Yarrowia lipolytica: one gene and its partner. The protein of the gene in region 2 interacts with the protein of the main gene of each other region in a pairwise test. Links are inferred from orthologs where the notes say so. Each region holds a gene or a part of one and is shown on either strand. Other genes may lie near its edges.

Region 1 (3,394 bases), on a different chromosome or scaffold from region 2:
TGTCAACTTGTTTATTCTCTTGCGCAGCTGTTTGAGCCAGTAGATGATGATTTTAAATCTGGTGAGAGATAAGGTTGGTCTCGAAACCTTATTTGAACCGATATTTGGAGAGATTTGAGCGGGTTATAATGAGAATATTTGTGTGACAATTGATAGCTATTGTTGTAATGTTGAAGTAATACCCAAGTCTAGTTTGGTCTGTGTCTTTTCCAGACTTCTCCAATGAAGTTTTCTGCAGTCACCACCACCTAAATTTAGTTACATTTTACTTGGGTTTGTAACCAGTACAGTTGAGGGTTGTGAGACTGAGATGAAGCGTCATAGTGCTAAACGGATATATAACACCAATATGAATCCAACGATGGGCCATATAACAGACTAAACGGTATTCTATCTGTTGTATACTCTGTTTTATACTACTCTTGTGGATTATGGAACCCTTACCGTGATTCCACTTTCAACTATGGTAAAGTGATGAACATGGTAGTTATCAAACATGGTATGAACATGGTACAGTACATACTGTAGTTATAAAACATGTAGTGATAAACAGGGTAAAGTGATGAAACAATGTCAAAATTAATATTACTCTGTTGTCCTAGCTCTGATGAACTGAACTATCAACTTCTCATCTTCCTAGCATCTCTGTGAGACGAATTGGATTCCACACGTTTGTAGATAGCAGCGACGTGTGCAGATATCAGCTGCTAAATATAAGAACCAGACACAAGCTCAGTCCAGAGATTTCTTCTAGAATCCTACGCAAGATAATGTATCATTCAATCCCACTTACAAATAATCATCTGATTGGTTCCCCACCCCTCCGTCTCAACTTCCCTTACAGTCAATTGTTGTGTTTCAGATCAACCCCTGTTTCACAGTTGGCTTTAGTTAACTCCGGAAGGCTCCACATAAACTGAAGCCAGACTACAAATCGCACTAGTGCTACAATCACGATTCAAAGAAGCCCAACTTGTTCACCACGGCAAATAAACCCTAACAATTGTTTCCCTGTTCTTTTATAGCCTCCAAATCCACTTGCACTATACACCTTCCTTTACCACCTCCCTCACTAGACTCTACTTAATCTTCAAGTGAAATTTCTTAACTCCGTTGTTGAACCCAAAAACCACCACTTAGTAAGCCACATCTGCCGCCTCACTCAAGGGAAATACACACAAAATGGGGATGCTCACTTTTGTCACCGTCGACCCGGTCTCACTCACCTACAAGCACTCGAGAAGAACAATTCCCATTCGGTCGCCAATGTCCGAAAAACCCTAACCCTACCACAAATAAGCCTTTGCCACTTCCTTGCACTGTGGGGTGAGTGGTGTGTCTCCACATACACGAGATAGAGAGACGTGGACGGAACGTCGAAAAAGCAGTGGTATCTACGACAACAGCAACCAGGCGATCACGTGACCCACGACCGAACGAAAGCACGTGACAGATCAATTTCAGAAGCCGCGTGAAACTCCACGCAAACCAGACGGGAACAGCAGACACACACACACACACACACACACAATAACGCACGATACTAACGATGCTCAAGCTATTTCGACGAAACAGTAAAGATGAAGCCAAAGGCCATCCGATGCTGGCCAACAACAACGGGCTGCCTGTGACCGACTCGCCACTGTCATCGTTTGCTGTGGGCGTTACGGAGGACAAAAACTCGCGGTGTAGACGGACCATGGAGGATTATCATGTGGCTGCACACAACATTTGCGGCACGCCCGATTCGGGGCTGTTTGCAGTATTTGACGGACATGCGGGCAAACAAGCGGCTGAGTACTGCGCAACGGCAGTTGTCAGTGAGGTGGAAAGTCTGATTATGGAGTCTGAGGGATTCAAAAGCGAAGACTCTGCAACCGAAGACCCTGAAGTCGTGCAGGAGGAGGGGCTGGAGCACCAGGACAATGACAAGAGCTCGAAGACTGTGCCAGAGCTGCTTAATCTTGCCTTCATGGCCATTGACCGGTCAATTGAGCAGAAGAACCTGAATTCCGGATGCACAGCAGCAGTGGCTCTGTTGAGATGGGAGGATTCTCGAGGAAAGCCCGTGACGGTGTCTTCTGATCACTCACCCAAGGACTACACTCCCGTGTTTCCCCGTGCTCCATTGTCCGAGTGCAAGCGCAAGCTGTACACTGCCAACGTGGGAGACACTCGGTTGATTTTGTGTCGAGCAGGCAAGGCCCTTAGGCTGAGCTACGATCACAAGGGCACCGATCTCCATGAGTCTAAACGAGTCACCAACAACGGCGGAATGATGATCAGCAATCGGGTCAACGGAATGCTTGCTGTTACCCGTGCTCTGGGAGACACGTATATGAAGCAGTTTATTATTGGTAACCCATACACGACCGAGACGGAAATCATTGCTGATGACGAGTTTCTGATTGTGGCTTGTGACGGACTGTGGGACGTTTGTGATGATCAGAAGGCTTGTGATCTGGTGAGTGGACTAGAAGATCCTGTTGAGGGAAGCCGAATACTGGTGGAGTTTGCTCTGGAGAACTTTAGCACAGATAATTTGACTGTGATGGTGGTGAAATTGCGATAAGTGACAAAGGCAGGGTGACGAAATAGCTGTGTTTGAAGCGCATGTCGGACAGCCTCCTCCGAGCTGTGTTCTTTTGAGGCTATCCTAGCAGTTTTTCTGAAAGCTGCCTGTATTTGTCTAACTGTGACCAACCATCAGGTCAGCTTCATCTGACTTCCTTGTCTGAGGTACAGCTTCAATCATACAACACAAAAGCTTCTGTTTCCATTCTTCAAGTCTTGCCCACTTGTTGATGGTATTCTTCGCACCTTTCATGCTCCTCGTTGGACCGAAAATGCTCCCCTTCATCACCGGAACCTGTATAGCCAATACACTAAGTTATTTGACTGTCATTGGAGTAGATCCTCCATTACTGAAGCAACAAGTACAAGTAATGATCTCTGGCAATTGTAGTCAGAAGCGGGATTATAAGTACAGTTGTATTGTGACTAAATTTCTCCAACAAGTCATCTCCCTGATCGTCTACCATGAACGGATGGATGGATGCTCAAGGTGTAAGACATGTCTCGATGAATGCCGTGGCAGGTGGCTGTCAGTGTATGGAATAGTCGGGTCTTTCCGTATCGACAGTGGCTTCGTTCTCAGTCTACAGTTATGTACCAAGTTACAAGCACTGTACTGTACATACTCGAACAAGTACAGTGCCTGTACGTTTGCCTTCTATAATTCACAATGTATATAAATAAATAAAACCGTCAATAGACGACATCGGATCACCGTCAGAACCTGACTTATTGATCATACGAGACGAAATCAAAGCCGTCCCCAAACAGCCCCTCCATATCGTCGTCTGCGATTCCCGTAGTGTTGCCTGCGTTGTTT
Region 2 (3,792 bases):
TGGTGAAGACGGATAATTGACATATAGAGGGACTTACTGCATTTGTGTAATGTGGGACTGCAAGTATAAGTACAGTAGTTAGCCAGTGTGCGGTATAAAGCAGTTGCCACGGTAAAACATACAGTACCAATTCTTCGATTCGTCGAACTCTCGCGAAGTCGTCGTACTGTGGGTTACAAGCTGGGATCATACAGCTGTTGCCATCTCTGATGAACAACTGCAACAGATGGTGATGGTAAGTATTAATGCGTTCTTTGGACTGAACTGCTGGTCAGTGATATTTGATCAAATGATATCATGGCGACTTTCCAAGTTCACAGCCACTTGGTGGGGTGCCTTGTTCGGGGATGTTGCGTTCTCATGCCACCTCCAAAGCTGCCTCCTGTAGTGTGGGTGTCATATAGATACAGAACATTGTACATTGTTTGTGAGTGGATTGTCAAGATGCAGTACATACTGTAGCTCCACTGCAGTGCAACTCCATAGTTGCGATCTCACAAATGGCTTTACGTACCACAAGTACAGTACGAACTGGTACTCCTCTTCCCCAATACGATCGTCCCTCTCTCCGTCAGTGTCTCATCTGTTCAATTCGAGCTATGTTCCTAACTAGTTCACGATAAGATGGCGTGTCATCACATCGCTGCTCCATAATCCTACACTTAATTACATCACTTATATCACGTCAGCCATGCTGTCCTCCTATTACTGATTGCCTTGTCCGTCTTTGACCCACATTGTTTGGGTGTTTACTGCTGCTCCTGCTGCTGCTGCTCCTGTTCCCTAGCCCTGGCAGCCTCGTTCTGTGCGACGGCCGCTTGTGCCTGGGCATGGACCTGCTCAAACTGGCCCTGTGGAGGCTGGCCGTTGACGTCAATGTCCACATTGTGGAAGTCGAGAATCTCCGAGTACATCATCACCTTCCATGTGTCCACCGGCAAGTCTGCGTCATTGAACGACCAGTCGAACCGTTCCTCGGCTACAGGCTCGTCGCTGGGGTCGTGGTATGGTGCCAAGTAAGGGTGGGCCAGAGCCTCGGCCGCGGTTATTCGCTTTTTGGGGTCGAAAACCAGCATTTTCTCCATGAGATCGATGGCCTCGGGGTCGGCGTTTCGGAACTTGGACGCCAGAGGGATTCGTTCTCGCCGGGGCAGAGTTCTGACGAACCTCAAAGTGTTTTCCGAGCAGATGGTGTGAATCACATCTTCTGGGGGCGAGCCCAGCAGCTCGGTGATGATGGAGAACTGGTGCACGTGGTCCTTGCCGGGGAACAGGGGCTTGCCCTCCAGCATCTCGGCGAAGATGCAGCCCGTGGACCAAATATCCACCTCCACATCGTACTTCTGCCACGTGAGCATGATTTCAGGCGCTCGGTAGTACCGGGTCGACACGTAGCCGGTCATCTGGGTGTCCTGGATTCGGGCAAGGCCAAAGTCGCAGATTTTCAGGTCGCAGTTCTCGTTGACGAGGATGTTGGACGGCTTGAGGTCTCGATGGACCACACCGGCAGAGTGCACGTACTTCAGGCCTCGCAGAATCTGGTAAAGAAAGTACTGAATGAACTGCTTCTCCAGAGGCCGGGTCATGAGCAGACGGTGCAGGTCTGTGCCCAGCAGCTCGGTGACAAAGTAAATGTCTTCCAGCGGCGAGATGAAAATGTCGCTCAGGCAAATGAGGTTTTCGTGGCGCAGGTGCTTGAGCAGCTTGAGCTCTCGGTACGTCCGTTTCGACAGCACGGGAGTGCCGAACGGCTTCATGATTTTCTTGATGGCCACGTTCTGGTCCGTGAGCTGGTCCTTGGCCGAACACACGAGACCAAAGGCTCCCATCCCCACGGGGTTGAGATCCACGTATCGCGACGTGATTTCGAAACACGTGCCGAAGATCTGGGTCCGGATAAAGTCCGCCATGTTACGCGCTGTTCCTGGGAGACGGTAGAGAGAGTCACAGGGGTCCGAGCTACACTTGGTGATGTAGTGCTGCGAGTTGTGTGGTGTGTGTGGTGTCTCGAGAGTATCGCCAACCTAACTTGTGCTTGCTGCACCAAACCAATTTTGAATTTTCAACCTGCAGGGTACGCGGCTGGCGGAGATGGTTGGGGGGGGGCTTCTGAATGTGGCTACGATCCTTGTGAGGGCATTTATCGACTTTGGTACACGGTATTCGGCCCCGGTTACATATTTCTGTTTTCTTTCGACGTCCCTTGTGCGTTCACGGCTCTTTTGTTGAATCGTGCCGTGTCATGACGTCAAAAAAAGAACGAACAGCACAGCAACCAAGCACACACGCTAGGTCACCAGAGAACAGCTTATATAAGGTGGCGAACTTGGGGAATTGAAATTGAGAGCCGGGAGTGCCAGCATGGTTACACACACAGCCCGTCCCGCTCGTTATCACTCCGTTTTACGCTCCTCATATCCCCCCACTTAATGTCTCATTATCGCCGCATTGTCGTTGATTGGGTGTGCTTATGTTGTCAACTTGGGAACATGATACAGTTGACTTGAAGAATGATCATACTGTAAATGAATATCTCAGTACTTGTACAAGTACTCGATTATGTACAAATACAAGCAAAATACACCCCCATCTGCACAGTATCCATCACACACGGCTATAGACGGCATACAAGTAGTTCCCCTCACACACGTACACACCCATCCATCAATCACAGGTGGCTTTTTAGAGTCCAACAAACAGCAGACCGCAGAGTTCTCTTTTCCACCACACAAAGAGAATGACAAGCACTACACGAGAATCATTCGTAGAAATGGTGTCGCTATCGTACAAGTACGAGCACTCGTATTGTACAATAGCATCTGAAAAGATATCGTCGTATAACTCGCAAACCACAACAGATATGAACAAACCCACTGCGATATTCTTATCTGAGTATCACATGTACCTGGCACCTTGACTTGCAGCATCATAGACCCAATGTTTGGATCTAATTTGCTGTCAGAAGGCGTCGTATCTGAATTCAGACGTCGGAGAGAACGGGAGTACGACAGAAGAAGCAGTTCACATATTAGTAACCAATCACATTCCACCCGCTCACCAGTCAGCCATCAACCCATTTCCATAGACTCTCTGCATCTCATTTATTGCTTCTATTGTTTTCTCGTTTTGTTATGAACCAACCCCACACTGCAAATTCAACATCACAGGATTCTGTATACCTGCGAATGAGAACAATTTGGTTGACTCTGTTGCTTAAAATAACCCCTGTTTAAACAACAAGGTTACTGTCTTATTGCTATTAAATCCTATCATTTAACTTCTCAATAAGCCGTTAATCTCGGTTTTTCTTGGGGGTCACGTGATGTAATTGTTGCCTGTGGTGTAACGGGAGCTTTTTATTTTTTAAAATTCAGGCATCCTGGCCGAGCGGTTAAGGCGAGAGATTAGAAATCTCTTGGGGTTTCCCCGCGTAGGTTCGAATCCTGCGGATGTCGTCATTTTTTTGTCCTTGCACAACTTTTTGCTATAGGAAATACCATGGACAACTTACTGTACTGTACTACAACTACAAGTAGTACGCTCTACACAACCACCACCCCCTGTATCATTAATCATGCAATGTATAAATAATTATGTATGCTATGTCGTGTCATCAATTCCCATATCCATCTCCTTCACACCCAGACTCTTCTCTATCCCTCCGTCTCCAGTTTCCTCCTTAGACCTTTCCATTCGCAACCGTCTTCGCTCCTCCTCTCGAGCTGCCTTCTCCTCCTTTTCCCACGCGTTGGGCGACCGGAAAACTCGCTGGAAGAGCGTCTTGCCCTTGTT

What was found. The genes of interacting proteins can lie anywhere in the genome.
Region 1: the proteins of YALI1_E30073g (region 2) and YALI1_D27867g interact in a two-hybrid assay, tested with the Schizosaccharomyces pombe proteins (2 studies listed by BioGRID). The link is inferred for Yarrowia lipolytica from reciprocal best matches to the Schizosaccharomyces pombe genes sty1 and ptc1.

The regions. Positions count from the first base shown.
Region 1 is NC_090773.1:2,784,853-2,788,246, reverse strand, and holds YALI1_D27867g (uncharacterized protein), read left to right. Parts: upstream 1-1,549; coding exon 1,550-2,572; downstream 2,573-3,394. Other genes in the region: YALI1_D27844g (uncharacterized protein), read right to left, coding at 3,304-3,394. UniProt on the Schizosaccharomyces pombe protein: Serine and threonine phosphatase. Has a specialized role in the heat shock response. May be responsible for the dephosphorylation of hsp90.
Region 2 is NC_090774.1:3,005,369-3,009,160, forward strand, and holds YALI1_E30073g (uncharacterized protein), read right to left. Parts: upstream 1,911-3,792; coding exon 750-1,910; downstream 1-749. Other genes in the region: YALI1_E30074g (uncharacterized protein), read left to right, coding at 2,092-2,205, 2,259-2,507; YALI1_E30109g (uncharacterized protein), read right to left, coding at 3,601-3,792. UniProt on the Schizosaccharomyces pombe protein: Proline-directed serine/threonine-protein kinase involved in a signal transduction pathway that is activated by changes in the osmolarity of the extracellular environment. Controls osmotic regulation of transcription of target genes.